Macaca mulatta: one gene and its partners. The protein of the gene in region 2 purifies or fractionates together with the protein of the main gene of each other region. This does not show direct contact. Links are inferred from orthologs where the notes say so. Each region holds a gene or a part of one and is shown on either strand. Other genes may lie near its edges.

The links.
Region 1: the proteins of ABI1 (region 2) and NHSL3 purify together in Homo sapiens (affinity purification with mass spectrometry; 3 studies listed by BioGRID and IntAct, with this or other methods). This does not show direct contact. The link is inferred for Macaca mulatta from reciprocal best matches to the Homo sapiens genes ABI1 and NHSL3.
Region 3: the proteins of ABI1 (region 2) and EPS8L1 purify together in Homo sapiens (co-immunoprecipitation; 4 studies listed by BioGRID and IntAct, with this or other methods). This does not show direct contact. The link is inferred for Macaca mulatta from reciprocal best matches to the Homo sapiens genes ABI1 and EPS8L1.
Region 4: the proteins of ABI1 (region 2) and WASF1 purify together in Homo sapiens (affinity purification with mass spectrometry; 6 studies listed by BioGRID and IntAct, with this or other methods). This does not show direct contact. The link is inferred for Macaca mulatta from reciprocal best matches to the Homo sapiens genes ABI1 and WASF1.
Region 5: the proteins of ABI1 (region 2) and CYFIP2 purify together in Homo sapiens (co-immunoprecipitation; 4 studies listed by BioGRID and IntAct, with this or other methods). This does not show direct contact. The link is inferred for Macaca mulatta from reciprocal best matches to the Homo sapiens genes ABI1 and CYFIP2.
Region 6: the proteins of ABI1 (region 2) and EPS8 purify together in Homo sapiens (affinity purification with western blotting; 4 studies listed by BioGRID, with this or other methods). This does not show direct contact. The link is inferred for Macaca mulatta from reciprocal best matches to the Homo sapiens genes ABI1 and EPS8.

What each region holds. Positions count from the first base shown.
Region 1 is NC_133406.1:208,085,625-208,090,095, forward strand, and holds part of NHSL3 (NHS-like protein 3), read right to left. Parts: intron 4,079-4,471; coding exon 3,965-4,078; intron 3,875-3,964; coding exon 1,313-3,874; intron 869-1,312; coding exon 846-868; 3' UTR 1-845. UniProt on the Homo sapiens protein: Able to directly activate the TNF-NFkappaB signaling pathway.
Region 2 is NC_133414.1:28,116,067-28,121,211, forward strand, and holds part of ABI1 (abl interactor 1), read right to left. Parts: intron 2,597-5,145; coding exon 2,411-2,596; intron 1-2,410. UniProt on the Homo sapiens protein: May act in negative regulation of cell growth and transformation by interacting with nonreceptor tyrosine kinases ABL1 and/or ABL2. May play a role in regulation of EGF-induced Erk pathway activation. Involved in cytoskeletal reorganization and EGFR signaling.
Region 3 is NC_133424.1:67,399,239-67,404,383, forward strand, and holds part of EPS8L1 (epidermal growth factor receptor kinase substrate 8-like protein 1), read left to right. Parts: coding exon 1-95; intron 96-288; coding exon 289-377; intron 378-471; coding exon 472-546; intron 547-650; coding exon 651-799; intron 800-1,573; coding exon 1,574-1,715; intron 1,716-1,847; coding exon 1,848-1,876; intron 1,877-4,063; coding exon 4,064-4,196; intron 4,197-4,285; coding exon 4,286-4,417; intron 4,418-4,616; coding exon 4,617-4,728; exon of another isoform or gene 4,729-4,732; intron 4,733-4,918; coding exon 4,919-5,093; intron 5,094-5,145. UniProt on the Homo sapiens protein: Stimulates guanine exchange activity of SOS1. May play a role in membrane ruffling and remodeling of the actin cytoskeleton.
Region 4 is NC_133409.1:15,225,402-15,231,047, reverse strand, and holds the start of WASF1 (actin-binding protein WASF1), read left to right. Parts: upstream 1-1,909; 5' UTR 1,910-2,113; exon of another isoform or gene 2,114-2,140; intron 2,141-5,646. Other genes in the region: CDC40 (pre-mRNA-processing factor 17), read right to left, coding at 947-1,135.
Region 5 is NC_133411.1:166,195,522-166,200,666, reverse strand, and holds part of CYFIP2 (cytoplasmic FMR1-interacting protein 2), read right to left. Parts: intron 4,963-5,145; coding exon 4,809-4,962; intron 3,409-4,808; coding exon 3,252-3,408; intron 2,716-3,251; coding exon 2,619-2,715; intron 725-2,618; coding exon 648-724; intron 1-647. UniProt on the Homo sapiens protein: Involved in T-cell adhesion and p53/TP53-dependent induction of apoptosis. Does not bind RNA. As component of the WAVE1 complex, required for BDNF-NTRK2 endocytic trafficking and signaling from early endosomes.
Region 6 is NC_133416.1:18,125,983-18,131,127, forward strand, and holds part of EPS8 (epidermal growth factor receptor kinase substrate 8), read right to left. Parts: intron 4,992-5,145; coding exon 4,830-4,991; intron 4,703-4,829; coding exon 4,553-4,702; intron 1,658-4,552; coding exon 1,575-1,657; intron 1,026-1,574; coding exon 889-1,025; intron 1-888. UniProt on the Homo sapiens protein: Signaling adapter that controls various cellular protrusions by regulating actin cytoskeleton dynamics and architecture. Depending on its association with other signal transducers, can regulate different processes.

The DNA of each region.
Region 1 (4,471 bases), on a different chromosome or scaffold from region 2:
CCCCAGTGTGGTCAAGGAGGCAAGGGGCAGGTGCTTGACACTGCCAAGTACCCCGAGATGACTCTACTGCTCTTCTGCTCACCCATCTCTTTGGGCCCTGGCAGTCTCCTACTTGTCCCCAGCATGGAGCACCTGGCAGAACTGGAAGGCAGGAGGGTGGTTGGTGAGTTGAGGCACAGGAAGGCTAATCCTCTCTGCACCTTTTGTGCTTTGGAATTCCACAGCCCCACCCCTGCCCCCAGCCTAGAGAAGCCTGTGGGAACAAAATGACTTGGCCACCTCCAGGAACCAAGCAAGAGAAGGAGTAAACTGGATTGGGCAGGAGGGCACAGACTGGTCTCAAGCTATGGGCTGGCTGCTGGGGATGGATTTTGCTGCCATGTAAACAGGCCCTTGGAATGCAACTTCCTGGGCCCTGGAGGATGGCCATGCAGCCACTTTTCAAAAGTGCTTTGATTCTGGACTATAGTATGTGCATGGTTTGGACATGAAAAAAAAATGAAACTCAGATGAGGTGTCCTGCTCCCAACTCTGCGGCCTCAGGGCCAGCAGGGGGCGCAGCCACCCTCTCCCGCCAGCTACCTCCTTCAAGATGAGGCTAAGGCCAAGACTGAAGCGGCAACTGCCGGAGGTGACCCCATTCGGGAAAAGGCATGAGCGCGGGATGGTTCGGAGGACAGGAGCAACACCAGGCTTGCATAAATATCGAAGGCCGTGGAGGTTAAGGCTGCAGGCGCCCTCTCTATTAGGTTGTGTCTGCTGTATCCTCTCGTCCTTGGAGCTGCTCAGGTCCCTGAGATTGTGTTTCTGGGATGGGTCAGCAGTGCCAGTGAGGTGCCTGGTGGTCAGGCCAGCTCTTTCTGTAAGTCTAGGGGAGAAAAAGAAGGGACACTTAGCAAGGGGCCTCCTAGCTTAGTTCTGGCACTAAGAGCCCAACAAGGCATACCCTCACCCAACCTTGTTACCCGTTTTACTATGCCTGCAGCACTGGGCTGGACACCCTACAAATGTTCAGACACTATAATGTAGGTGTCACTGCCCCACACTTTACAATGTAGCTAGGAAGGGCAGGGAAAGATACAAAATTAGCCAGGAATTTGGCTATTGAACCTTGGAATTCAGACACAGTAGGCCTGACACTCACACACCATTCTCCTCCTCTGGGGCCCAGCAAGGGTGATAGCTGGCCCTTCCCAGGCATTCTCAGACCATAAAAGTTAAAGATCCAAGAGCAAATACCCCATGACGGGACTTCAGATTCCCACTTCCCATCATCAGCAATGGGACCCCACCCTAGCACTGCCCACTGTACCTGAGCCCGGGAGGCCCATCTTCTCCTCTGGACCCACCAGCTGCACGACACCTCCATTCTCCGCCAGCTCCCCCTTAGTCCTGTCCTGGGTGTGAGGGAGCCCATTGGTGGGAGGAGCAGTAAGGGGTTCAGCTCGAGGGTAACTGGGGGAGGTGGGTGGGGGGACTCCCACAGATGGCTTGCGGGCCACAGGCGGGGGAGCCTTAGGTGACTTCTTTGGGGCCTGGGGTGGCCGCTGCTCTGAGATGCTCCGGAGTTCTGCCACCAGATTCCGCTGGAGGTCAGCCTGCGTCTCAGGGGACATGGGCCGCTCCAGCTGCAGCTTCCTAGTGCCCTTGGAGAAGATGAAGCTGGCCGTCGAGGCAGGGGACTGGGGAGGCCGTGGTTCTGCCTCAGGCGGTCCGTTGGGCTGGGCACTTGAGAGGCCTTCGTTGGCGGCCAGGCTGCAGGCCTTGAGTCGGACGGCAGCATGGAGCCCTGCGGAGGGGGCAGGCACTGGGCTGGCCCGCCCTGACAGGGCCCTTCGTAGTGGTTTCTGGGGGGCCAATGGCCCCAGTGCTGGGGTGGAAGCCCCTGCTGGAGCACCCACAGAGCGCAGCCGCACCATCTGCAGGAGCGAAGGCGTGACCAGGGGCGCACCTACGTCCTCCCTGGGAGGCCCACCGCCCTTGCTGCAGCCCACCGGTTCCTTCTGAGGGAGCCTGGCCACATGCCCTGGGGCAGAACTAGCAGGAGCTGGGGCTGGCGGAGCTGGAGGAGGGTCTGGGCTACCCTGGGGCTGACTCTGCGAAGCAGTAGCTGAGGAGGACGAAGCAGCCGGGGAGCTGACAAGCTCTGGGGAGCCTGAAAGGCCTGCAGGCTCAGGGCTGGCCACAGAGAAAAAGGCCTCCTCAGGTGGGGGGAAGTCAGCCATGGACAGGTCCTGCTCCTCAGGGGCAGGGGGTGGGGGTGGGGGCCAGTTGGGATCTTGGAGGGGCTCCTCAGCAGTCTCTGGGGCAGATGGTGCCTCCACAACCACCTCTGGCTTCTTAGTGGGTGGTGGGGGTGGATGGTAAGATGGGGGTGGGGATGGTGGGGGTGACTGGTCTTTGGAGATGACAGGAGACTCCTGCAGTGGGGTCAAGATTGTCTGGGAAGTGGGAGGGGACTGGGGACTGGCATCAGTGGTAGAAACAGGCCCAGGAACCATAGCAGGGGCGGCTGGAGCAGAGGCAGCTGGGTTAGGGCTCTTGGGCTTGGAGGGAGGTGGAGAGAAGGGGGCAGGCACCTTGGGGTGAGGAGGTATGACAAACCTGTCACCCAGGGGGGTCAACATCTGTGGCCCAGAGCGGTCTGAGGGGGCTGGGTCAGAGGAGGAGGAACATAGAGACGTGAGGGAAGAGGAGACGGAGGCCCCAGGGGAGCGAAGGGACGTGACACGCTCTGGTTTAGGGGGCTGGGCCTTGCCTGGGGAAGCAGGGGGACCTGCCAGGACCTTGGGAGGGAGGGTGGGAGTACCACTTTGGCTCGAGTATCCACTGGAAGGTGAAAGCGTCCGTTCTGGGGAGCGTGGGGGGCGCCGGGAGCCACCCGGAGACAAGCCAGGTACCCAGTTGTTTGCTGGGTTGGGTGGACAGGGTGCTGCCCCCGCCCCTTCTGAGCCACCAGTGGTGGGTGGCCGAGGCGGCTGGGGCTGCTGCTTACGCTCAGGCTTAGGGGGCAACCCTAAGGGCCCATCAGGCACTGCTAAGCCCCGCTGATGGAGGGAGTGGGTCCGGCGGGGAGGGGGTGGAGGCCGCTTCAGCTTACGTAGGGACACACTCCGGCCAGACAACTGCCCACTGCTCCGAATGCTGAGTGTGTCTGAGGCCTCAGCGGTGCTGCCCCCACTGGGGGAGCCCCTCCCACTGCCTCCTTGGGGAGGGGGTGCCATGCTATTGCTAGCCATAGAGCCCTCCGGCTGGCCCTCAGAGCCACCCTTAGAGGAGAGGGTGGAACCGTCAGAGACAATGGTGTCGGAGGATTGAGAGTGGCTCCAGGTGTCACTGGAGGAGGACGGGTGGCGGCTGCGGGGCTGTGGGCTGGAGACCGAGGAGAAGCGCCCCAGCGAGCGGACTGAGGCTGGGCTGGCCGAGTGCAGGCTGCAGCGGCTTAGTGTGCGCAGGCTGCAGCGGCCCAGGGCCACCACGTCCACTGTGGGCGGCAGCACAGCATGTGGAATCAACTTCGACAGGTAGGTGGCCTGGGGGGAGATGGACATGGCCGGGCTCAGGGACTCTGCAGGCCCTGCCCCTCCTGTCAATCCAGGCACTGCTAAGGACATGGGCCGGGTCAATGGTGGGGGCCGGGCGCCCGTGGACCGGCCAACAAAGGTGTCATCCCGGTAGACACGGTCAATGTGGCGCTGCAGCATGGCCTCTGTCTCAGCACTAGCCTCCGCCTCTGCCTCCAGCGCCTGCAGGGACACCCGGGCCCCCATCCCTGAGGTGCCTCGGGGGCGGCCGTCCACTGTGGGGATGCGTACAGCATCCAGTGCACCAGGAGCCCGGGGCGTGCCTGGTGCCTCACGCTCATTCCGCAGGCCTGGAAGGGACAGGGAGGAGGTGGGGTCAGCAGAGAGGGATGACCAAGGCTCCCCACCCACCACCACTGCCCTCCTAAACCAGGCCTCACCGAGCTCCTTCTGCACATGCTGCGGGAGTCCTAGCACAGTGCTCCGCCGCTCCCGCCGACGCCGCCCTGACTTTCCAGATTTGGGAAATGAGTCATGGGGTCGGAAGGTGGAGCCTGGGGGCCGGTCGGGGGAGAAAAACTGTTACAGCAAAGGACTCAGGGCACATTCTGCAGGGCACTACTTTTGTAGTAAGAGCTCTGCGAGAAATGATTTCCGCAGTCAAGTAGGTATGGGCAAGGCTAGGTTAAACAAAGCTAGAGGCTTCTTTTCTGTAAGACGTCTGGAAGGCTACTAAGTCAACGATGGTAATTTCCCTTTAGTGATAGCTTATTATTTAGTAAACATATTATCATGTGTTAGTCAGCATGCTAAACATTTGGCATTCATTCCAATAAGATACTTATCCTCATTTTTAGAGAATATCAAACAGAAGTTCAGAGAGGTTAAGGGTTTTCCCAAGGTCACACAGCTGGCACGTAGTTACACCAGGCCTCCAACAGTTAAGA
Region 2 (5,145 bases):
ATTCAAGGACCCATGCTAATTTAAGGTACTGTTCCCAGATTTTTTAAAAAGAATATTTACTTACTTCAAAGGATTTTAATTAATATTTAGAGAACGTGGCAATTCTGTGGTGTCTGTAATTCTTTTCAGTTCAAGATACAGGTTGAGTAACCCTCATCTGAAATGCCTGGGATCAGAACTGCTTTGGATTTGGGTTTTTTTTCCAGACTTTGGAATTTTACATATAGGTAATGAGATACTATCTTGGAGATGGGATCCAAGTCTAAACACAAAACTCATTTTTGTTTCACATACACCTTACACACATAGCCTGAAGGTAATTTTATTTTTCCCTTGGGAACACTGAATAAACTGTGTCATGTGCCTGCGTTCTGACTGTGACCCATCACATGAGGTCAGGTGTGGAATTTTCCACTTGCGGCATCATGTTGGAACTCATTGTGGATTTTGAAGCATTTTGAATTTGGGACTTTCAGATAGGGATGCTCAGCCTATATTCACTTCCTTTGCAAACTGCTGTGGAAAGCAATCTAAAGTGTATCATGGCCCATGGACAAATCCAAACCACTGCATTTTTTGTAAATAAAGTTTTATTGCAATATGGCCACATCTACTTACTCATGTACTATGTCCTCTTTTACGCTACAACAGTAGGACTGAGTAGTTGTGACAGAGACTGTATAGCCAGCAAAGTTTAAAATATTTACCATCTGGCTTTATACCAAACAAAGTATGCTCACCCCTAGTTCTTGGGAAGATACTTTTTAATCCTCTACTATCAAGTATATTACCCGATATGTCATTCCAAATTTGTCAACTTCTATAAATATGGTCCCATTTTCATAATTAAATTTGCTTTACCAAGAAAGAAAATATGGGTAAAAACACAATTCAAGGCCACTCAAGTTTATCATCCTCATAAGTAACAACAGCTCTCTATTTGAAGGTATATGGGAATCTAAAGTAGAATATTTAAGACTTTCTTAACAATATGTAAATTATTTACCGTTTAAAAATATAAGGCCAGGAGTGGTGGCTCACACCAGTAATCCCACAACTGGGAGGCTGAGATGGGTGGATCACTTGAGGTCAGGAGTTCAAGACCAGGCTGGCCAACATGGCAAAACCCCGTCTCTACTAAAAATATAAAAGTTAGCTGGGCGTGGTGGCGGGCACCTGTAATCCCAGCTATTTAAGAGGCTGAGGCAGGAGAATTGCTTGAACCCGGGAGGCAGAAGTTGCAGTGAGCCAAGATCGCACCACTGCACTCCACACTGGGAGACAGAACAAGACTCCACCTCAAAAAATAAAAAAATATAAAAGGAAAACAAATTTACTTTTGCCACATATCCAAAACTTGGGCAGGAAAGAATGCTGCTGGTCTCAAGAGCTACAGCTACTTGCTTAAAGACTGTTAACCCAATAAAGTCAATAGAAGGAAATCTATCAAAGGCAACCAAAAGTGTTCAACTAAATTACAAGCATTTTTCAGAACTCTATAGAAATACAGATTTGATTTTATTTTTAATTGATTCCCATTTCTGCAAAAAGAAATACAGATTTTAAAATAGCACAGAACTAGATGAAAAAATAAAAACTAGAAACAGGATTTGTTTCTTCCCCACCTATATTTCTTAATAGATAATTACAGTGAATATTGGGTACTGTAGGTAAATTACGACTTTATAGTAGTTCATAGTTTCATGAAATATAATCCTGGTAATTTGTCTTCTCTTTTATAAAATCACCTGACACCTTAATTGAGGCTTTTCTCATGATAGTACTAATAAATTTTTAAAGACAGATGCTCCTCCACTTCCATATGATGGGGTTATGTCCCAATAAACCCACTGTTTAGTGGAAAATATTGTAAATTGAAAGTACGTTTTCAACCTATAACTTACATTTTTTACTTATAACAGGTTTATCCAGACAAAGCTACATCATAAGTTGAGAAGCATACTGAATGCATATCATTTTTGTACCATCATAAAGTTGAAAAGATCCTAAACTGAACCATTGTAATTCAGGGACCATCTATATTTAGATATGAAAGGTCATCAACAGAGCTTGACAGAACTTTTAAAATCTTTACTAATTACATATAACTCCATTTTTGTGCCTTAGCTGTTTCATCTACAAAATGCCATCCAGCAAGTTAATCTTCAGCTGAACACATATGTAGTTTGAAAGCAAATCTAACACTGCAATTTTAATTTAAAATACAAAGAAAGAATCACCCTGTACACTGGGAATAATACAAAGCTTAGGAAGTAAGGTTTAAGTAAATCATCTTGGCTGGTAAGGCAGTTTAAAAAGCTGAGAAACATTGGACTAGATGTTCTTTATAGTCCTAAATTTCTACAATTAGGTTATATTCCTTCACATCAATTCAATTATTGTACCTTACCTTTCTCAATATAATTCTTGGGGGCCCAAGCAGGATCCCCATCTGCATATGGATCATTATACTGAACTACTGCAGCCTCCTCATCTTCATAATCCACTGGAGGTGGTGGTGGGGGAGGTGGAGAGTCATCAAACATGGGAATGTCATCTGGTGGAGGTGGTGGCGGTGGAGTTGGACTATCAGCAACTAAAAAGATTCATATGATTGATTTGAATCACAAATAAGTCTAGATGGAAAGTTATAAGTTAACAGAATTTAAGAAAGCTCTAACTTAAGTACAGCATGCACTATAATAAAACATGCAATGATTAGAAATAAAAGCTTGGTGTGTTAAAGTTTATGCTACTCAAGAATCATTTAAAAATAACAAAATGAGCTAAAAATAAGTGTATCTGGAAGTATTACAAATTAATGAATGCAGGGTGTTAGGAGACAATGTCTCTTTTTATAAGGATTATAGGAGTAGTTTCCTTATTCCAAGGTTCAGATCGGGACAAATGTTAACAACCTAAACTAAATCTATGTCACTTTTGTCATTTGGACTGCAGTAAACGATATGAGTAACATTACATTAATGGTTTGATCACTTTTCACTCTGCTCATTCATGCCCGATTTTGGCTTGAAACAGCTTTGGTTCCCTAAAAATTGAGTCTCCCATGGACAGATTTTTGTTTCTTTGCTGATTATTGTTTGTTTTGATGGAGAGAAAGTTAAAGTTGGTGGTATTAGGTCTGCTTCTGTGTATAGATTTTCTACTCTGTTATTTACATTTTACAAGTTGAAAAAATGGAAAAAGAATCCCCAACCAGTAGAAAATCTAATTGAATATTTTTTAAAATGTTTATATTCATAATCAGTTTTTTTGTAGAAAGCAAGCTAAAATTTTGCGTTATTGCTAGTAAAACATAAGCACGGGATGAGGGCAAGCCTAGATCCTAAAGATTCAATTTTCTAAGAATACATCAACAATTAAGATTTAAACATAAAGTGTTGAAGATGTAATTAAAAAAACAAACAAAAAGAAACTTATAGTAAACAAAACAATAAAAATGACTCATACCTCAAACTCTAGATGGTCGTGGTCAGTATATATGTGTGTGCTTTACATAGTCAAAGGTGTAAACAGGGAAATGGGAAAATGTCAGGCTAGAGCTCTGTTCAATGAACTAGCTAGCATAATATCAGGTAAAAATGCTCCTATTACTTAAAGAATTCAAAGCTGGAACCCAACTAGTGCTTAACTTAAATTTCTGATCCATAAAATTCTTTAAAAGTTCAAAAGACATATGAAAATGTTTTCATACAGATTGATACGGGAATTATATAATTCCTGCAGGGGAGAAGTTCATAATACAAACACACTAAATCAAATGCCAATTTCTGGGGCTATTTACGTGATCAAAGAAATCAGCCGTAATCTATTTGTCATACAGGTTTAAACGTTTACCCTCCTGGGAATAATGTGCTGAATATACAACCAAGGGCTCCAGGTTTAAAATATTTGCAGATAATGACCCTATTTTTATAACCACTTCAATGCTGTGATTTCTATTTTATCCTCTTGAGGGATGAAAGGGCTATTAGAAAACAAATCTTGTATGGTAATGCTCACTCTAACACCTATCAAACGGGTCTACAATTAAATTTTCTGCCTCATTCCTAGATCCATTTTATCGTTGTCCATAACTTCCTCTATAAAACTTTTTAATATTATTGAGGACAGGAAAATGGGTATGGACCCCTCCCAACATCAAACAGCCATAGTTCATATCCTTAGTTTGGCTTAATGTGTAAATTATATATGTGGGTACTTTGAATTTACTCTCGATTTATCACACTAGTTCAATGTTTTCACGAAATTGTCTTTATGTCCAACTGTTGTAAATCTACATGTCTTATCTTCAAATTATGGCAGAAGTCTTGGTTAATCTAATTCTCTGCATAATCATAAAGAGATGCAAACACACTGCTGACTTTTTTAGAGGCTGGTATCTTAAATTGAAACACTTATTAATAGGCTAACTGCTACATGCATTCATTATCACCCACTTTGAGTGTCATAATAAACTGGGTATTTAAGAGAAGAACACATAAAATTTGTACTTCATAAAACATTTAAAGTGCTGATACATATTTTAACACCAATCTTCCTAACATACTTTCAAAGAAAACAGAAACCAAATAAAGTTAGGGAATCTGTGGCACAAGGAGAATCACTGACCCAAGTTCGTATGTTTGGTAAAAAGAACTAATACCAAGAGCCTCTTTAGCAAAGACCACACATGCCTAGAATAATGCACACTAATACTGGATTTCTATATAAAGAAAAGATTTACCAAATAGCTAGTCAGTCACCATTGGACTCACAAAACTGATGTGCATTATGACTATTTTAAATTATTTCCTAATAATTGTTAGTGGTATGGCAGTTCAAAAGTTCACACTGTCTGTCTTTAAACTCTGCAGCATTAATGACCAGCAGTTTACCCTTACTCATTTATTTTTAAAAATAAGATTCACTTCTATCTATCCATCCATCCATGCATTTATTTATTTTTGCACTCTATTTATTTATTTTTGCACTCCTAGGCTGGAGTGCAGTAGTGCGATCATGGCTCACTGCAGCCTTGACGTCCTGGACTCAAATGATGCCCCAGCCTCAGCCTCCCTAGTAGCTGGAACTACAGGCACACGCCACCACACCTGGCTAATGTTTTAGTTTTTGTACAGACAG
Region 3 (5,145 bases), on a different chromosome or scaffold from region 2:
GAGCTTCGTATCGAGGCTGCAGAAGTCGGCGGAGGCGGCCAGGGTGCTGGAGCACCGGGAACGCGGCCGCAGGACCCGGCGCCGAGCGGCTGGGGGTAAGGGCACCCCCGCGTGGGATCTGAACCCCCCTCCCGATCACTTCCAGATGCCCCCCCTCTCCCCAGGGTCTCCCCTCCCGCCACTTACCAGGGCTGACCTCACAGCCATCTTAACCGGGTGTCCACCTCTCTCTCTGCCTGCCTGGTGCTGGCCCCGCGTCCCCATCGCCGCGCCCGTCGGCCCCCGCAGAGGGCCTGCTGACGCTGCGGGCCAAGCCGCCCTCGGAGGCCGAGTACACCGACGTGCTGCAGAAGATCAAGTACGCCTTCAGCCTGCTGGTGAGGACGCGTCCGCCCCTGGGCCGGGGCGCGGGCACGGCGAAGCTGCCCCGTCCCCGCACCCACGCCAACCATCTCCCTCCCCACGCCCCAGGCCCGGCTGCGCGGCAACATCGCCGACCCCTCCTCCCCGGAGCTGCTGCACTTCCTTTTCGGGCCTCTGCAGATGGTGAGACCCGCCCCAGGTCCTCGGGCCCCCCTGCGGCGGGAGGAATCGGTTCGACTTGCAGACGGTGTGACGGCACGGCCTGCCCCCTCCCGCTCCCCTGACAGATTGTGAACACGTCGGGGGGGCCCGAGTTCGCGAGCAGCGTGCGGCAGCCGCACCTGACGTCGGATGCCGTGGCGCTGCTGCGGGACAACGTCACTCCACGTGAAAACGAGCTCTGGACCTCGCTGGGGGACTCGTGGACCCGCCCCGGGTGAGGGGCGGGACTGGGAGGCGGGGGGCGTGGTGATTGGAGGAGCTTAAGGGCTGGGAGATGAGTGGCATGATTGGAAAATGAGACTAGGAGGAAAGGGACAGGTTGGAGGCGTGGCTTCGTTGTGTTGGGGCGGGGCTTAGGACAGATGCCAAGATTCAATTGGCGGAAAGGCCAGAAATTAATATGAAGGAAAGATTTAAGACCAGCAGACCAATCAGATTGAAAGAAAAGGTGGGGCTTAAAGGAATAGAGGGGCTACGGGGCAGGAGCGGGGCTACGCGAAGGGGCGGGGCTTCTGGAAAGTTTGGTCTATAACTTTGGCGATGGGACAGAGTCTGTGCACTGGGGGCTGGGAGTTTCGTAGGGAAAGGGTCAGAACCTGAAACCGAGCTTAAGGAAAACCTGATTTGGAATCAGAGGTGAAATTTAGAGGCTAGATAAGGCAATTTTTTTTCCAGAGAGAGAGAGAGATGGATGGGCGTGGGGGGCGGGTCTCAATATGTTGCCCAGGCTGGTCTTGAACTCCTGGCCTCAAGCGATCCTTCCATCTTGGCCTCCCAAAATGCTGGGATTACAGGCGTGAGCCACTGCACCCGGCCTAGAAATATAAATTACTGTTGGGTTGGGCTTGGAGGTACCGGCAGGACTTGGTGAAAAGTGGCGGGGCTAGATACAGAGAGCTTTAGGGGAAAACTTAGTGAAGTTAATGACAGAGCTCAGCTGGGGGCTGTACCAGGATCCCTGAGCTCTTGGCCCTGTCCCTGGCTGCAGGCTGGAGCTGCCCCCGGAAGAGGGACCCCCATACAGACCCGAGTTCTTCAGCGGCTGGGAGCCGCCGGTTACTGACCCGCAGGGCCGCGCTTGGGAAGACCCAGTTGAGAAACAGCTACAGCACGAGCGGAGGCGCCGGCAGGTGAGGCTGAGGCTTTCAGGGGAGCAGCCAACTCCCCCAAGCGACACGGCAGGGCCGAGGCTGGGAAGTCCGGGGTGGGGGCGTGGCCGGTCCGCCTGGCCCCGCCTGACCCGACTCTCTTACTTCCTGCAGCAAAGCGCCCCCCAGGTCGCTGTCAATGGGTGAGTGTCCGCCCCAGGGCAGGGCAAGGGGGTCCAGGAGGGGTGCTTCCCGGGGGCTCCCGGTGTTGACTCCGCCCCCTTTTTTTCTGTGTTTTTCCTTCTGTCTTCCTGGCTCTTTTCAGGTGGGTGAGATGGTGAAGGGGCGGGCCGGGGCCGGGAGAGAGGGAGGAGCAGGGAGGGAGGGGGCGGGATCCAGACTTCTGGGGCCAAGGGAGGAGGGAATGGAGACCGGGGTTTCCGGGCCTACGGGAGGAAAGGGGCTGGGAGTGGGTAAAGTCTGAGAGGTTGGATCTCTGGATCCCCAAAAGGCTGGAAGAAGGCAGTTTGGTTTCTCAGGGCCTGGGAAGCACCATGTCTGGGCTCCCTACGAGGACAGAGCCCTGGATATTGGAGGGGAGAGGCTGGGGAATTCGACCTTTGGGTTTTGAAGAAGAGCCCAAGTCTGGTGCTTGGGATCCTGGAGACCCAGAGGAGCAGGCTTGGGACTTCAAGGGCTTGGGGGCAAGTTTCTGGGAAAGTTAGGAAGTGGTAGTATCTCTGGGCCCCGGAGAGGGGTAAAGGCTGGGTGATTAACCTCTTGGTTTTCCAGACGCTCTAATGCAATTGTCTAAGTCACTGCTGGGTGTCGGACTGGGTTAAAAGGTTTAAGGGTTAAAAGGATAAGATTGAAGCTTGAGACCTGGACTCCTAGGTCCCTGGGGGAAAAAAGGACATTCCACGTCAGGTTCTACCAAGCAGTGGGGGTTCAGACTCTGGGTCCTGGGGGAGGAAATGAAGTAGATGGACCAGAACTCTAGGGTCCTTGAGCAAATAGAGGGCAGATTGGAGGGAAACAACATGGGAGGAGACGAAAACAAAGCAGTGAGGCTGGAGGAGACAAAGGGGGGTCTAGGTGAGGGCCTGGGCAGAGGGTCTCAGCAGGGACAGCGTGCTGGGAGCTGCCAGCCCCACACAGGGGGTGCCGCGGCCCTGAAGACCCCCCCTCCCCCCTGCACAGGTAGGCCTGATCCAGGCTGAGGTCCCTCTTATCGGGAGTCAGAGCTGAAATCCCACCCCTGCCCCCAGCTGCCTGATATCGCAACCCCCCTCCCTGTTCACAGCTTCAAGTCACTTTCTCTGAGCCTCAAGTTCTTTGCAGGGAAACTGGGAATGATGGTAATCCCTTCCTGGAACAGTGAGAAGTCTGTGGTGTTGTAGGAACTAGCAGTTCAAGGCTCAAGGCTGTGACCATGTTCAAGTTCAAGTCCAGCTGCCTGCAAAGGAGGGCAGCATTATTCAGACATGGACTGCCCTGGTCCCAGGCTGGCGATGCCACCTGTGACCTTTACATCCCTGTGCCTCAGCTTCCTCCTCTGTGAAAATGGAGAAGATAATAGGGTCTCTGGGGGAGGAAGAAACTGGGGGCGGGGAGAGGGGAGTCCAAATTCATGGTTCTACCAACGGTTGTCATGAAGCTCAAATCAACTAATATACATAACAGTGCCTAGCACATAGTAAGTGCTACAGAAGTGGTAGCTATTGTTTGTTTTTTGAGACAGGGTCTCACTCTGTCATCAGGCTGGAGTGCAGTGGTGAGATCTCAGCTCACTGCAGCCTCTGCCTGCCAGATTCAAGCGATTCTCCTGCCTCAGCCTCCAGAGTAGCTGGGACTACAGGCACGCGCCACCACACCCAGCTAATTTGTGTATTTTTCAGTACAGACAGGGTTTCACCATGTTGGCCAGGATGGTCTTGATCTCTTGACCTTGTGATCTGCCCTCCTCAGTCTCCCAGAGCGCTGGGATTACAGGCGTGAGCCACCGTGCCCGGCATAGCTATTGTTTTTATTATGCTCATGAGTTATGATATTTAAGCCCAGTGCCTATTAGATGCTCAATAAATGACAGCTGTTTCTAGCTGTGTGATGTAGGCAAGTGGTTTTATCTCTCTGAGCCTCATTCTCCTCTGTAAAATGGAATCGATGATGGGATAGTACCCACTGCATATGCCTACAGCACAATGCCAAACAACGGAGGGGGCAAAACATATTCAGGCTGTTATTCTCGTTTCAAATTTCTATTAACAGTACTAACCTGGCCCCTGCTGTGCCCCCTGCTTGGCTCTAACCCTAGCTCACACCAGCACCCTGCATCCCAGAGCAATGGGGCTGGCTGCCTCCTTATCTCCAACCCTCCTGCTTCTCCTCAGTCACCAAGACTTGGAGCCAGAATCTGAGCCTCAGCTGGAGTCAGAGACAGCAGGAAAATGGGTCCTGTGTAATTATGACTTCCAGGCCCGCAACAGCAGTGAGCTGTCGGTCAAGCAGCGGGACGTACTGGAGGTTAGAGGAGCGGGAGGCTGAGGGGCAGGAATTAGGCAGCCCTAGCTGCAGATGCAGGCTCTGAACCTTCTGCCTTTTACCGCACGCAGGTCCTGGATGACAGGCGCAAGTGGTGGAAGGTTCGGGACCCAGCGGGGCAGGAGGGATATGTGCCCTATAACATCCTGACACCCCACCCCGGACCCCGGTTGCACCACTGCCAAAGCTCTGCCCGCAGCCTGGTGAGCCGGCGCAGACGCTGGGGTCTTGAGGGAGGAGAGGCTGGGACCAGATACTGGGAACAAGGGGCGTGGGGATCAGCTGTCAAGAGTGCTGGTGCAGGTGGTGACTGAGGGTTCATAAATGCATCTCCAGAAAGGGGAGAGGCTGGGACTCTGATTCCTCTCCCTAACCCAGGTGCTCTCCTCTGCTCCCTTTCAGAACAGCACTCCTCCTCCGCCACCAGCCCCAGCCCCAGCCCCACCTCCAGCTCTGGCTCGGCCCCGCTGGGACAGCTGCGATAGCCTCAACAGCTTGGACTCCAGCGAGAAGGGTGAGTGGTGGGGACGCCGGCTGTGGGGAGAGGTTCTTATCCTTGCTTTCCAGGCAGGGAAACGGGGGCTCAGAAAGAGCAAATGGACTCCTGCCCCATTCTGGGGAGGCTGGAGCACCCCCCCGCCCTCTGGCCCCAGGACCCCTCGCCCTGAGCCCCCACTCCCTCCCTCCGGGTTTCCCACCTGCAGAGAAATTCTCCCAGATGCTCATTGTCAACGAGGAACTGCAGGCGCGCCTGGCCCAGGGCCGCTCGGGCCCGAGCCGCGCAGTCCCAGGGCCCCGCGCTCCGGAACCGCAGCTCAGCCCGCAATCGGACGCCTCCGAGGTCCGAGCCTGGCTGCAGGCCAAGGGCTTTAGCTCCGGGTGAGTGGGGCGGGGGCCGGCTCGGCGCGGGTTGATACGCAGGCTGGGAGCG
Region 4 (5,646 bases), on a different chromosome or scaffold from region 2:
AAGTAAAATTCACAGACAGCTTGTTAAAAATCTGTAAAACACTCCTTAAGTCATTAAACTAGACTTGGGGACATGATACAAAGGAATTTTTGGACACCGCCTCCCATCTTCACATCTTGAGCTGATCACCTACCTCGGGCTCTACTGGGCCTACACTATCAATTGGTAGATGCTCTCATCAGGCTCTAGACACATCAGCTTTTCCTCAGTTCTTCAAACACACTAAGCTCTTTGCCTTCTCAGGCTTGCCTGTCACCTTTGCCTGGAAACTCTTGCCTGAATCAGCTTCCTCCATTGAGATCATGCAGCTGTTTCTCAAATCCAAGGCCTTTTTCTCACTGTATTAACATACATAATCATAAAACATTTACTGCACTCTCACTAGTTACCAGGCTCTGTGCTATATGCTTTATTTGTGTAATTTCACTCAATTTTCACACTCATCTTCTCATGTAGACAGGTGTTTTGAAAATGATCTCCGCTTGTACAGGTGAGGAAAGAGAGGAGGCTGCATAACTTGCCCAAGTTCACATAAGTGGTGGTGCCAGGATTAGAACCTAGTTTTTCAAAAATAAAACAAATCGAGGCCACTGCTCACTTCAAGTGAAGGTACAATACTCTAGTTTGGGAAGTCCTGATCTAATTTTATTTATGTTCCGAGATTACATCTGCACTTTACAGGCTATGTCCCTAATTCACAAATTCAAATTTCACCCCCTCTTTCCACTTGCTTTCTGATGGCGGGAGGTAAGGGCAGAGAGCATCGGGGGGCTATTCCGAACTTCCAATTCTGCTTCTCCCGAGGATGCATGTGGGAAGGAGAAGAAATTCAAACGTTAGCAACTTATCTCTGAGCAATGAGGTAAGCCGGGACCTAACAAGCGGCTGGCAGTTTTGGAGCTGAAGCCAACAATTCCCACACCGCATCAGTAGCAAAGGTGCTTACCTTAACTGCCACCTCCGGAGCCGAGTCCACTGCCACTGCTAGAGACGGCTTGGCTGAAGGCGATTTAGTCAAGTGCATGAGGGAGTCGGCGGCTGGCAGCGGACATCGACTGCTCTCACTGTCCGAGTCCGATTCGGACCCTGAACCCGAACCGTAGGAAGCGGCCAGAGCTGCAATCGCAGCCGACATGACGGCAACAAATCTTCTGCGGGGACCCTGTCAGGGCGGAAGAAGAGGAGGCTCCCAGGTCCTGACAGATTGCCATGGAACACATCATTAACTTTCTTTGCTAAGAAATAATTTCTTACATTTTAAAACAACAAGCTAATTATTATTAGAATAACTACTGTCGAAATGAGAGCTTAAAAAAGTTTATCTAGGGAAAAAGAGAGAATTATAATAGCTTATAACTTTCAGGACCTAGTTGACTAAAGAATACGAGTTCCAAAATACCTTGAGGCCTCGCGGTCCTGCACTCCCAGCGTGCAGCGCGGCAGGAAGCACCAGAGGGCACAATGGGAAGTGTAGTTTGGAACGAGGGGGCGGGACGGGGGCGGGTCCCTCCTTGACCCCGCCCCCGAATGGATGTTCCATTCAATTGGCTGTCATCTTCCCTCATTCCCTAGCCAAGCACTGTTCTCTCCGTCCCCCTCCCCCAAACTGAGGATTGGGCAATACCACAGAACCTCAGGAAAGGGGGGAAGAGCGAGCTTCGGCCCCACCGATGGAGGAGTGGGCCGAGGCTGGGTTTCCCACCTCGACTGCACCTGGGCACTCGAGGGTGAAGAGGAAAGTGAGAATCTGAAGTTTTGAGACCTCTGACTGGCCGGGAATAGCTCCTGGGGCACGGGGCAAGGATGGGACCATAGCCGGAGAGAGTCCCGCGGTCCCCCCTGCTTCTGGCGCGGGTCCCTGCGTCCGGTTGTGGAGCGTCTCGCGCGGGGAGGGGGCGGGGGGAGCGGCAGCTCGCGGTGTTGTTCACTCGCGCGTCGAGCACACGGTGGGTCCGGCGGCCGGTGGGCGCCCCAGGCGGCGTTCCCAGTGGCCTGGCGCCTCGGCCGCTGTCCTGAGCGGGTTCCGCCCCAGAGCCCGACCCTCCTGGGAGCCCTAGGTGGAGTCCCGCGAGCCGAGGGGGACCGGCGACCGCTGCCGAAGCATGAAGAAGGGGTAAGCGAGAGCCCCCAAGATTTCACGGTGAGCGCGAGTCCCTGAGGAATTGCTTTTTTCGGGGAGGGGGTGCTGGGAGAGGAACTCTTCCTCACCGGCCGGAGCAGACCGAGGGGTGTGTGGCCCGCATAGGTGACGGGGATGGATGGGCGCGCCTCCCCCGCCCCGGCCCCCACCCCCATCCGCGGGTTTCCCGAGCGCCCACCGCCCACCCGCCAGCCGGGCTGGGTGCAGAGGGAGACGGCGGCGGGCGCGCCCGGGGTTCGGCTGCAGGGACCGCCCCGGGGCTGCTTTCGCCGGAGAGACTGCGGGTCTCACCTGAGGTGCCACCGCCCGGGCTTCCCTGCCCACCCGCGCCCACGGTCCGCCCCGTGCCTCTTTCCGGGGGAGGCGGTAGCCCCGGGCGACAGAGAAACCTCTGCTCGCTCTACGTGCCTGGAGCTTAGTAAAGCCGGCTCGTGCGTTTGCGTGTTTGCTCCGCGAGTCGGTGTCTAAAGACATAACGGTAAAAAAGCGAGTGCAGGCATCCTTTTCTTGGTTGGAAGGGTAGGCGAAGCAGTGCCGTCGCTTCTGGTGCCCGTTCGTGGGGGCTGCCTCGGGCAGAGTTAGGGAGCCGCTCACTCAGCGCTCATGTCGGCAGGACTCGCCCATTGTGCCACCCAGATAATTATTCAACTATGCAGCATCCATTGCACCTTTCCCATTTTTCTTTTCCCCTTGCTACAGCATGCCCCCTAGCTTCGGTACTCTGACACCTTCTCTTGCACTTGCGGATGATGAACTGGAATAACGATGAAAGAAAGCACATCCTATCTCAACATACACGACCTGCCCTATAACCGATTAATTAATTGATCCCCAGCTAGACTAGGTGCTTAAATATGACTTACTCTAATCATTTTCTTTTCTGTATAATGTGTGCGGTGGATTCGACCTAAATTTTTTCTTTGGTGTTAGATTCACGGTTAGCTAAGGTCTTTTTTCTTTTCACTAATTGATGTAATTGACTTATGGGTTATTCAATCCGTCTAATGTTCTTAAATTTAAACTTGCGTGGTAGGTAACATTCATTTTTCTGATCATAGCACTATATCATGATTAAAAATGCAGTCTAAATTTGAACTCTCTGAAACAGTTTATCCTTTATGCTCTAAGTTTCTGTTAGGAAACATATTTTTGTTTATATTGAATATTCGAATGAAGTATTTGATGTAAAATTTCGGAAGTTTTGAATAAGAAAAGTTTTGTATTTGTTTTTCAGTAACAGAATATGTCATTACTAATCGTTGCCTTCCATTGAATGGAAGAATTTAATATTTAAGGTGAGGATTTTAACCACCGTATCAGTCATTCCCTAATTTATCTGATTTTATTTTTTATTCACTTTTGTCTTTGCAATATCTTGTATTTAATTATTTGTTTTAGAATCCAATTTTTTTTTCTAACTTTGATCTACAAGTATGAGTAGGCTTCAGTTTTGCATGATCTACCTGAAGGATGAATTTTTATTTGAAAATACAAGAAACAGCTGTTGGTTACTTGATTTTTATGTTAAAAACTGTTTACATCTCATTATTTAAAAATAAATGATTCACTATCAAAAATAAGTGTTGTATTTTTATAGTTTTCCTTTTCCATCTTGTTTACGCTTGTTGCATTAACCCGTCTGATAAAAGAGAATCACATATAAGCATTGCAGAGGCAGTTTTAAGGTACGGTAATTGTTTTATGGCACTTGGAAGTGGCGCACATATAATATAAGTTGATGGTGTAGGATTAGTTGCTTGGTTAGGAAATGACCTTGCAATTTACAAAATGGACACCTTTGTGCCTTGATTTCCTTATATGTAAATGGAGATAATATTTAGTAGATAGTGTGCATAAATTCAGGAAAGGTGTGTTTTTGTAGTCCTTTTAAAGAAAATTTAAATAGCTGATGAATGATAAAAAAATTTCTGTGAAAAATACAATGAAAAAATGTCAGAATTTTCCTTGTCATGTTAGAATGGCTGATTAACATTGATTCTTGCTTTGGAGAGAGACGCCTCTGAATTGAAAAATGTTTCTCATCTATCAGTGGTTTTAAATAATTGCAGACATAAAGGTTATTACAGTTAATACCTACATGTAGTTAAACATATAGATAAAATAGTTAATAGTAAATAAAAATTATGACTTGATAATAAGAATATTGAATTAAGTTAGTGAAGAATAATATAGTCAAAAAATATTAAGGCCTTTTTTGTTAAAAATTTGCAGGTGTTACAATCCAAAATGCTTAGTCGTGATCATTTATAAGGTATGCTATAGAGTTACTTTATTACTCATGTTTGTAAATATCCATATATTGTACAAGACTATAATTATACATTTTGCTTTATTTTAGGAATAACTTAAAATATCTTTCCAAGTACTTGATTTTCATTATCATAGTACATAGTACCTTGTGATTTCCTTATTGGACTACTATCAAAAGATTATATTATTAGCACTTTTACCAAAACAGTGCTTTTGGTTACTTTGTGAGAAAACTTCATATAGATAAGACTATTAAAGTGTGTTTAAAGTTAACTATTGTATGGTTTCTTTTTTGAGAGTGATTGTTTTATAATGTTTTCTTGAATTAAAATTTAGCTGTCACTGTCACTTGGGTAAATGCAGTAAAGTCATGGTTTTTTTAGTTATTTGAGGAGAGGAACTGACCTGCAGCTTATTGTCATAAATCCAAAGTTGTCAGTGTAGTGTTTAACAAATAGTAGGGGTTCAATTTTCTTTTTTGAACAAATAAAATGAATGTGTAAAGAATATCCATTGAATTAATATACTCAGTGAAACATTTTTAAAGATTTATCAAACATTTTAATTAATGAAATGTATAACTTTATCTCAGGAGAAAAGAGAAAAATGAATTTGGAGGTTCTTTGAACTCCATTTACCTGTTCAGATCTAATTCCATTACCTGTACACTTTTGAATTGGCACTAGATACTTAGCAGTCTTTGATTTATGAAATATTAACAATTTTCTTCTTATAGCTCACTTTATGAAGATGTATGTCAGCATATTTTTTGTTTTCCCTACACTAGATAGAAGTGTGTTTGATTCTTTGTGACTTAACTTTTCTAGTGAAATAGTAATACAAAGATATATGTAAATTAAATCCTGTGCTAAATGCCTGGGTACCTAGTTGTTAAAAATAAATGACCCCTGAGGTGGAACTTTTTATAAAATTAAGAATCTTGTGTTTTTAGTTTATCACATTCAGCTTATAATTTTGTGAATTGGTAGTTCTAACTTACTACATGATTGATTATATTTTACAACTTGTAAAATGGTTTGGAACTTGGGTCTTATTTTCTCAGAAACGGTATGCTTAGTGGTTAGAGTCACAGACAGCCCACTACTTAAATAATAAAATACCTGAATTACAAGATTATGTTAATACTAAAAAAATCATAAAATTATGTTAATAATTAGCATAAGTATATTCAAATACCTATAATAATTTGTATGACAGTCTTTCTATGGGAAAAA
Region 5 (5,145 bases), on a different chromosome or scaffold from region 2:
TGAAACCATTCGGAGTCATTCCACTCCTGGGAGAAACAGCCACAAAGCCGGCGTGCCCTGGCCCTGCCCACCTCCCCAGCCTTAGCAGGCAGCCTGCCCCCTCTAGTGGTGGTGAAGAGACACTGACATGCATTAATTCACAGGAATCCTCCCACAGCCCTGTGAGGTTGGCAGGCTGTTATCATTATACTCCCGCCACAGGGACCTTGCACAAGCAGTTCCTTTTGCCTGCAACTTCCTGCCACATCCTTCACCTCCTTTTACTTTCTTCACTCCTACCAACTTCAGATAAGAACTCAGATGCCACTTCCGCAAGATGGCCTTTCTAGTTCCCCACCCCCAAAGGTTTAACCGTCGTACGTTCCCACGAGCTTTTCCCTCACAGAGAGCATGTAACCTCCTTGTCACTGTGCACTCATCGGCTTTTAGTCAATGTCTGTCTTTCCTGCTAGACTGCAGTCTGTGTGAGGTGAGCCCTCTATTTATTTAGTTTCCTTTCCACTCTATTTCAGCACCCAGTCTGGGCCTGTGGAATGGCTCTGTTTTCCTCAGGGGCTAAAGAAGAAGGGAGGTTTCACAATGGAAAATCACATCTTCCAGGTGGCAGTCTTAAGAGATTGCTACTCACAGCTCTGGGGCTTTCCTACCTGCCGGCCATGGCTTTGTAGTAAGCAAAGATCTGGTCTGCCAGCTTGTAGACAAACTGATCAAAACACAGGTTCACCTGGTGGAGAGGAAGCAGGAACATCACTGGTGCCCGTTCAGCTTAATCACAGAAACCGAGCCAACTGAAAGAGGGCAGTCGGCCAGGACTGCCCAAAGTGCATTCTGGGGAAAGACGCTTTGAAGGGGAAAAAGAAGATTCTGTGGCTAAGTTTGGGAGGTTTGGTCCCTTGCTCTCAGGGTCCTCAGTCAGTCAACAGACAAGGCAAAGTTCAAAAAGGAACCAACCTCCCCACGGACCCCCTCCTTAGCTGTTTTGAGGCTGCCTGCCTGGAGGGATGCAACGAACAGACCGTCAGAACCCGTCAGTGCTTGAATCTGTCTGCTAACTCGGCAGCCTCTCCATCTCTCTCTTCTGATAGATGTTATTTTTCATTGTATTTTACTTTGCTTTGCAATTTTTTTTTTTTTTTTTTTTTTGAGACGGAGTCTCGCTCTGTCGCCCAGGCTGGAGTGCAGTGGCACAATCTTGGCTCACTGCAAGCTCCGACTCCCGGGTTCACACCATTCTCTTGCCTCAGCCTCCCGAGTAGCTGGGACTACAGGTGCCCGCCACCACGCCCGGCTAATTTTTTGTATTTTTTTTTTTTTTTAAGACAGAGACTCGCTCAACAAGTCGCCTAGGCTGGAGTGCAGTGGTGTGATCTCGGCTCACTGCAACCTTCACTTCCTGGGTTCAAGCGATTCTCCTGCTTCAGCCTCCCAAGTAGCTGGGATTACAGGCACCCACCACCATGCCCAGCTAATTTTTGTATTTTTAGTAGAGACAGAGTTTCACCATATTGGCCAGGCTGGTCTCAAACTTCTGACATCAGGTGATCCACCCACCTTGGCCTCCCAAAGTGCTGGGATTACAGGCATGAGCCACCACACCTGGCCGCAAATTTGTTTATGAAGTTGATGGTCACATTTCAAAGCGCCTTCCTTCCAACTTTGCTTACGTAGCTTTGGTTTTTAATGAAGAAAGCATTGACATTTCAGGGTCTCATCATCAGTGACAGACTGTGATGCTCAGGTGGGAAGATAATTCACACCAGACACAGAGAATCAAACCAAATATTCCAAAAATAGCAAGAGCAGGACATGACCATGAGATGGGGCAAAGGCAGTAGCTAGGTAAGAGTCAAAGGAAACAGATCCTATTTACTGTCAGATTTAGTATTTTAAGTCTTTCATGTTTAACATTTACGTGATTAACCTTTGATCCTTTCTCACCAGACCCTTGGCTCCATAAGGTTAATGATTCAAAAAGCTTTCAGATCTTTCATCTCACACCCTACGTGGTATGCAGAACACAAAATCCCAGCGCTGTGTTTAGTGCTTTCCTCAGACCTAGGTCACTGAGGCCGCTGCCCTGCACTTTGAGCTTCAAGGGTCATCAGTAGACCTCCGTCCAGGCAAAGAATCCATAGGGTCAAGGTGGGCATGTGCACTCAGGCCCCATTCTCCCCTTCTAGAACCAGCTCTGAGAAGCCTTCTACAGGCAGCTCAAGCCTCTTCCAGGGCCACGTGCTCTCTTCTCTGGCCTCCCCTCTGAGGATGGACTGCACTACGGGTGTGTGTGACCATAGGTTTTAGGTCTGGCTGAGGGTCACTGTTTTTGAGCAGAGTTGACAGGCAGAGCTTGGGTATTTACACACATGCACATGAAGCCCTTCATGGTGCAGCACAGAGTTTGTGGGTGGGAAGAGAAAGGCAGCAGGTCCTGAACTGGGTGTCTCAGTTTGTACTTCTGCCCTCAAAGGTTACACAGGCCTTCTGATGGCCATGATTACAGAGATTCCTCTCCTAGAACAAGTCACTGATACTCCTACTTCATGCTAATAGCAAAAAACTGGAAAAGTCCGGAATTTGGAACAAGATTAAAGGAGCAAAAGGAGAAGCACGTCACTTGCCTCAGCTTCGATCTCATCGTACAGGAACTGCTTTTTAAACTTGGTCAGAGCATAGTAGGCGCTGTCATTGTATAGATCCAAAGGGTAGAGGACATACCTGAAGAGGGAAAAACACAGCCAGCCGCTTACTAATGACCTCCCTTAAGGAAGACAGTTTTATACTTGCTTGGGAAATAGAAACAAGTTCAGAGTCAGGAAAAGACCATCTTTCAGCCCTCTCTGATGGTCCCAGAGCCTCCACCGCTTAGGAGCAACTTACTTTACAGTCAGCCCAAAGAAATAAGAAGTCCAAGATGCAAATAAAACCAGGACTTGTAAACATGTATCTGGGACTAAAAGACATCAGGTGGCAGTTAAGAATATGAGCTTCCTGCTCCTGAGATTACTCTTTTCTGAGCATAGCTGTTATGAGGCTGACAAAGCATAGGAAGGACAGCTGGCCTGGGAAACTTCAGAATTTATCTGCAAGGCTGAATTAAATGATTCTGTCTGGCTGAGCTTTCCCCGTGGTGGGGCACATGGCCTCATTTCTTGTCAACTCAGTGCTTCCTTCTGGAAAGAACGGAGCTCCCTGGTAAACTGCCCTCCACTTGCACCCCAAGAGCCACCTGCTGGCCCAATGCTGCCTCTTACTCCATCATGGAAGGTTCTTTGGTTTCCAGGATATGGTCCGTTAGAATCCAGGGCATGGACATCTCGATGGGGAACTGGATTCGTCGGCCCATGGTTAACTCCAGGAAGAATTCTCGGAACCAGAGCTGGGAGAGGTCACAACACTGCTGCAGGGCTTCTGAAAAGCATAAGGGAATGAGCCTTGGGTTACTCTTAGCACTAAAAGACCTTAGTTCTCATTGTTTTTATTAATTTTCATTGTTATTGTTACTGTGTTAGGTATGTAGCAGGTACTAATATTGATTAGTAGGATCCTGCTCTCTTTTACTTAAAGGCAAGCCTAATATGTACTTGGAAAATAGCATTTGTTAAGCTTGAGTGGCAGTGGTTGTGGGCTGGCGGGGGAGAAGAGAAGGCAGTGATGTTTTAGAGCTTTAGATGCCCCTATAGTTCCCATCACCCTCCTACAAAGTCATCCTGAAAACCTGCAACCTAAGCTTGAAAAGTACGCTCATGGCTGGGCGCAGCGGCTCATGCCTATAATACCAGCACTTTGGGAGGCTGAGGCAGGCAGATCACTTGAGGTCAGGAGTTTGAGCCCAGCCTGGCCAACACGGCAAAATCCCGTCTCTACTGAAAATACAAAAAAAAAAAAAAAAAAAAAATTAGCCAGGCATAGTGGTGCATGCCTGTAATCCCAGCTACTCAGGAGGCTGAAGCAGAATTGTTTGAACCTGGGTGGCAGAGGTTGCAATGAGCTGAGATCACACCACCGCACTCCAGCCTGAACCTGGGAAGCAGAGGTTGCGGTGAGCTGAGATAGTGCCACTGCACTCTAACCTGGGCAACAGAGCGACTCCGTCTCAAAAAACAAAACAAAACAAAACAAAAGTATGTTCATTACACAATACAGTGTCAGTGTCAAGATAGGCCCCCAAGTGCCCACTTTCAGTTGGATTGTGGCTCCTTGACTTCTTGTGTGTGTTAATTCGTAGATCCCATACAGTTTAGAGGCCTTGAAGGCCCTTCCCAGGCTACTCTCTAATGGAGAAGAATGTACTGTTTGTTACAGCCATCACTCTTTTCAATCCCAGCAGACATACGAAGACTCACGTCCCTGAGATACTACTCTTCCTCTGCCCTAGACATACATCTTACTAAAAGGAGAGGAAGTGTGAAGAACACAGGACTGGGATGCAGCTCGAGAGCCTCCCCTGCTGGCAGCAGCAAGTACTACTTAGCGCTCGGCTGCGGCTGAGTAGCAAGTCTAGCATCCATGTGTCTGTATGTGCATATTCTTGGTTTTGATCCCTCTCTACTAAGGACTTTATGACAGATTAGCCACAGGTATCTCCCGGACACATTTAGCTAGGTCAGAATAGCTGAGTTGAACCTGGCCTTTCCCAGCTCCAAAAGCCCACTGGAAAGTGTGTGTGTTTTCCTTGGCGGTGATATCAACGATCACGTCCTTAGGGTCAACGATCACGTCCCTTTGCCATGCCTGGCTTGGTGGTCTTAGTGGCTCTGAGCCCTTCGTCCCCTCCCTCCATGCCTCAGCAGGGGTGGGATGCAGCTCACCACTGATGTTGAGCAGGTGTGTGAAGAAGAAGGACTGTTTGTGAAAGTCCTCTATGGCGAGGACAATGGGTCCGTCGAGGCTGCTCCTCAGGGTCTTCTTGGAGCCGCTTTTGTCTGCAATGAGCGATTCAAGCATGGTCCGCACCATGTATAGCTTGAAAAAGAAGGCAAGATGAGAAGGTCAGAAGCTGGCCCTCCACCCCAGGGGAAAAGGTTGCTTCGTGTTGTATTTATGTATTTATTCTTGTCTGCAGATGTCTGCTCTTAAAAAGCATTGTCCTAAGGAAGCACCAGTTTAGGGTTTGAGAAGTAAATGTGGAACTGTGAAAAGCTTCAT
Region 6 (5,145 bases), on a different chromosome or scaffold from region 2:
TTTTTTAAAAAAACAGTAACGCTAAGTTCTATGTTATAATTGTTTTTAAACAGAATGCCAAGGTGAAATGATGCCACGCTCATAGGGCCCACTTGACAAGTACAGTACAGTCGTATGATGGATACCTTTTACCCTTCTCCACTGCCAGCAGCCAACCACTGTCCTGACAACCTTTCCATCAATATGACAAACTTGTCCACAAAGGGACTGTAGTTAAATAATAAAAAATTGGAAATAATTTTAATTGCGGTCTTTAAAAAAACCTGTACATATTTTGTTGCCATCTTTTTAACTGTCAATCAAGTGAAACTTCCTCTCTTAGCATTAAAAAAAAAAAAAAAAGAAAAGAAAAAAAAAAAAAGACTCTAACCCTAACACCATGTTTATTAAATGGTGGGTCTGAACTCTTACAGATAATAATCTTAACAAAATTCAAGGCTTAACTTTCTTTCACCTAAGATTTGATTTTTTTTTTTTTTTGAAATGGAGTTTTGTTCTTGTTGTCCAGGCTGGAGTGAAATGGCGTGATCTCAGCTCACTGCAACCTCCGCCTCCCGGGTTCAAGCGATTCTCCTGTCTCAGCCATCCCAGTAGCTGGGGTTACAGGTGCCTGCCACCACGCTCACCACATTTTTGTAGTTTTAGTACAGACAGGGTTTCATCATATTGGTCAGGCTGGTCTCGAACTCCTGACCTCAGGTGATCCGCCCGCCTCAGCCTCCCAAAGTGCTGGGATTACAGGCATGAGACACTGTGCCCAGCCAGATTTGATTTTTTAAAAAGTAACCTCAAGCTTCAGTTCTGAAATCAGCATCAGAATTTGAAAGCAAGACCTATGCCCCAACCCAAAGTAAGTGTTCAATAAGTATTAATTCTAGGAAGACTCACAGTCCCCTTGGTCGGCTGCCCACGCAGACCAGGCTGCCACTCGACTTCTAACATCCACCTGGGTGACGGTCCCAGGGGGCGCAGGGGCAGGAGCTCTGGGTGGGGGCGGTATACCAGGGTCTGCGTTGGAAATCATCCTTAAAAAGATGAAAACAAATAGAATTTTTACCATCTCTATTTCTATAACATATCAATTAACTCAACTTGTGGTACTAGTTATTAAAATTCAGAAACAACTATGTCAAGGGGCAATAAGGATTTCCTAAGCATTCCATATTATGCATATTTATGAATGCATATGAAATAAAAAAAATTAATAGTCAGCTGAAAACTAGGTTGATTTTCTTTCTGAGTCTCATGTGATTTGGAAGGGCCATGGAACAATTACAATCCTACTGTCTAGCTTGTATTTCCCTAAGATACCTTCTCTTCAAATGCCACTCATCTTTCATGACCCTGTGACTTCCAACCCAAGTGAAGCCATATCAGAGAAAGATCAAAAATATGGAGAGCAAAGGAGCAAACGCACTGACAAACTTGGGAGAACAAATGTGTTGAGACTACAGGTTATGATCTATACAACATAATAATATACTTCCATGGAAAATAATTCTTCTAACTCTTTGGGGGAAAAAAGCCTTAGAAACAAATCAATTCCACCCCTTGATTTCTTTTAATGTTTTTACCTCAGGGCATCAGGCCGCCTCTTCTGTTTCCCTCCTTTACTGTCACTGATTGCACTTTCAATATCTTCACTAATTAGGTTTGCCTGCAAGGAGATACAAGTTACCTGTAAGTTGATAGATTTTTCCGAGTCTTGATATGTAGTTTAAAACAGGAAAAGGAATTGTTCCTTGTCTGAATCAGTAAGCATCTTGATGTAAAAATCTTTTTATAAAAATGTTGTGAAACATGACTCTTGTGGTTTTTATAATGGTGAACTATATAATGATAAGATTTTAAAAACTGAAGAAATGTTTAAAGATTATCTTAAAGGGAAACTATCATTGAATAAAGGCAATGAAGGAGGCAAAGAATGGATATGCATATGCTAAAAATGAAACTGAGTAAAAATCTCTAATTGGGAAGAAATTAAGGGGTTAGAGATTCCCACACATAGAACAGACAGAGTTCCTTCCCTTTCTCATCCTCAAGATCCACTGGATACCTATTAACCCAGCAAAACATATCTTTGGGTTTAAGGCAAATCCACTACACCCATGAGATAAACTCCAATACTAGGTTGTACCCTTTTGGGTAACCACTTTATTTTGTCACTTCAGGTAAAAGCTAACTTTCTACAAACAATTAACTTTTCCAATACTTTTCCAATAAGAACATTCAGTTAGATATTTCTTGGGGATCAATGTGAGATTCACAGATAAGAAGTTTTTGTTTGGTTGCAAAGTTTGTTTAGAGCCAGTCATTATCACTCTATATTAGAATGTTGATGAGATGCACCATCTATGTTTGTGCCTCCTTGTTGTATGTAATGTTTTCTCAAATATGTACGTTGTATTTCTTTTACAGTAAGCATCGATAATCATAAAATTTTGGAAATGATGGGATATTTAAAAGAGCATCTCATCAGTTCCTTCTAATTAATAAAACTGAGGAGTACTTGTATGAAAGGGCCTGGCCAAGGTCACATTGCTCGTTAAATGAGAGTGCCAATGCATCCCAGTCCAGTGTGACTTCCTAAGAGCATTAAGTTTCAATAAGACATTACAAACATCCTGTCAAAGGCTTTCTGTTACATAGGATACTAAAACTGAAGATGAAAAGACAGTTAATTAAAAATAATTATTTTTTTTTTTAAAAAACCCCAAACAAAAACTGAAGATGCCTAGGAATCATCAACTTCTTATACTGGGGCTATTATATTTCTAAGAAAAATTTTGCTGCAAAGGTGGGCAGGAGCATTGCATGAAGTCCTATAATAAAGAAACTTTAAAAATCAAAAACAATATTGCACAATGAGCCATATAAAATAAACTGCATTTTTCATTGCGTTTATACTTTTAACCAGCCAAGGGAAAAAGGTCTCATATGCAGAGTATAAAACCAATGAGTAAATGCATATGGTGCTCTGTGGTATGTGAGCTTTTGGAGTTAGGACAGAACTATATTCAGTAAATACATTTTGAATCCATTATCATTACCATTCCATATCAAATAAAGCAAACCCTTTGTTCCCAAACTTAAAATTCAGAAGCTTTACACTATGGCATAGTAACTTTTAGCTCCCGGGGGGCTTTTTAGAGCACAGATACAAACATCAAATCTGAAATGTTTTTTAACTTAGGCCTCTGGTTTATATATGTTTGAATTAAATTTCACTATATTTTTAAAGCAAAATGTTCCCTTTAATATTTATTGAATATATCTAACCTTACAAAAATTATAATATACTATGACTTTCAAAAGGCACTATACAAAAATCTGATGAATATCACTTACACAAATTACTTAAATGCCAGTTCTTTTAGAAGAAGGTTTTTAGAAAGTCATCTGTGATGTAAATTGAAATTAGAAGAAAATTATGAAACACAGTTTACAGTCAATTTTACTTTATCTATCATCTTTAAATGTCAAAAAATACAGAAAAGATCAAGTGACTGTGCTAATCTCCTAAAAGTTCTTTATAAGATAAAATTACATGGATATTTTATAATATATCATCAAAATGTTAAATCACTGCTTTAGCAAAGTACCAATTAACACAAAATGATTTCTCTTTTAAAGAAAACAACTCAGGAAATAAACACATTCAAGGTTGAAGATAACTTCTAAGGTCCAATAAAGCATCACAAATTATAATCATTTGAAATTACACTATACTTTGAAATAGAAACTTTCAGGACACATCGTGTTATTACTGGCTCATCCATTTTCACGTATCATTTGGGAATTACAAATCCTGAGCAACGATTCGAATCACATAATTAAATGGTGAACTTTAAATCAATATCGTGGGAAATGTCTAAGTACTTCATTGCAGTAATCCACGCTATGTCATTAGTGCAGAATAAATTAGAATTACATGATTATTTACTGTCCACAAAGCATGATTTCTGAACAATCAATTTTTAATTATAAGTTTAAGGCATTTGATGTGAATTTAATATATTATCTATCCTTTAAAAAAAAAAAAAACAGAATGCCTCTTATTTTTAAGAGACACAGTCTCACTCTGTTGCCCAGGCTGGAGTGCAGAGGGTCGATTATAGCTCCCTGTAATCTCCAACTCCTGGCTCAACAGATTTTCCTCTCTCAGCCACCTGAGTAGCTGAGACTACAAGTATGTACAACCACACCTGGCTAATTTTTTAAACCTTTTCAGTAGAGACTGGTCTTGCCATGTTGTCCAGGCTGGGCTTGAACTCCTGGCCTCAAGCCATCTTACAGCCTCGGCCTCCCAAAGCACTGGGATTACAAGTATGAGCTACTCTGCCTGCCCCTGATTTTATTAACATCACCCTAATTTCTTTATTTACTTGCCATGGAAATCCTAAGGAAGATACTAAGGTATTTGTTTTCCTTACAAGATCCTCAGAAACTAAAAATCTAGTACCTAATATGAGATATATTATCAAAATAGGTAATTCAAAAGCTGCCAGAACGTCTGCTTAAAGAGGAAACAAAAATTTCACCATTCTCTTACCTTAACCTCATCACACTGGAAAAGATGAAGATCTGGCTTGTTCTGGGTTGGCTCTTTGCACACCAGGGCAAGCACTGAATCATAGCTGCATGAATGCATCACAGCTTGGCAGTGCTGGATTGTGTTTAAAGGAAAATTCTCCAGTTCATTCTATAAATAAAGTAAACATTTTATTTTTCAAACTTCCACCCATTTTCAAACAATCTGAAATGACTGTAAACATTAATATTAGTGGCATTTTCTTGAAAATAAAATAGTATAAATTTTACACACTTGCCTTTGATTCTAAATCAATCAGGCTCACAGCTCTGTCATCCACTTGAAGAATCATATCTTGAGTCCACACTTTGCCCTTGGCATCAAGCAATTTCAACTTCCTTATTCCATCATCAACAGTGATCATAGCATCTTTCCGATCCAGGATAAATGTAGTCAAGTGCTTACGATTGGCAAAAAGGAAAAGGATTTATAACAGATACAAATACATACAACCTCTTACATTTCCAATACATTTTCCAAAAGAAAATCAAATTAACCTGAGGTCAGCTAGCAGAGAACGACAAACATAAAGTGCTCTTAAAACTTCATGACTA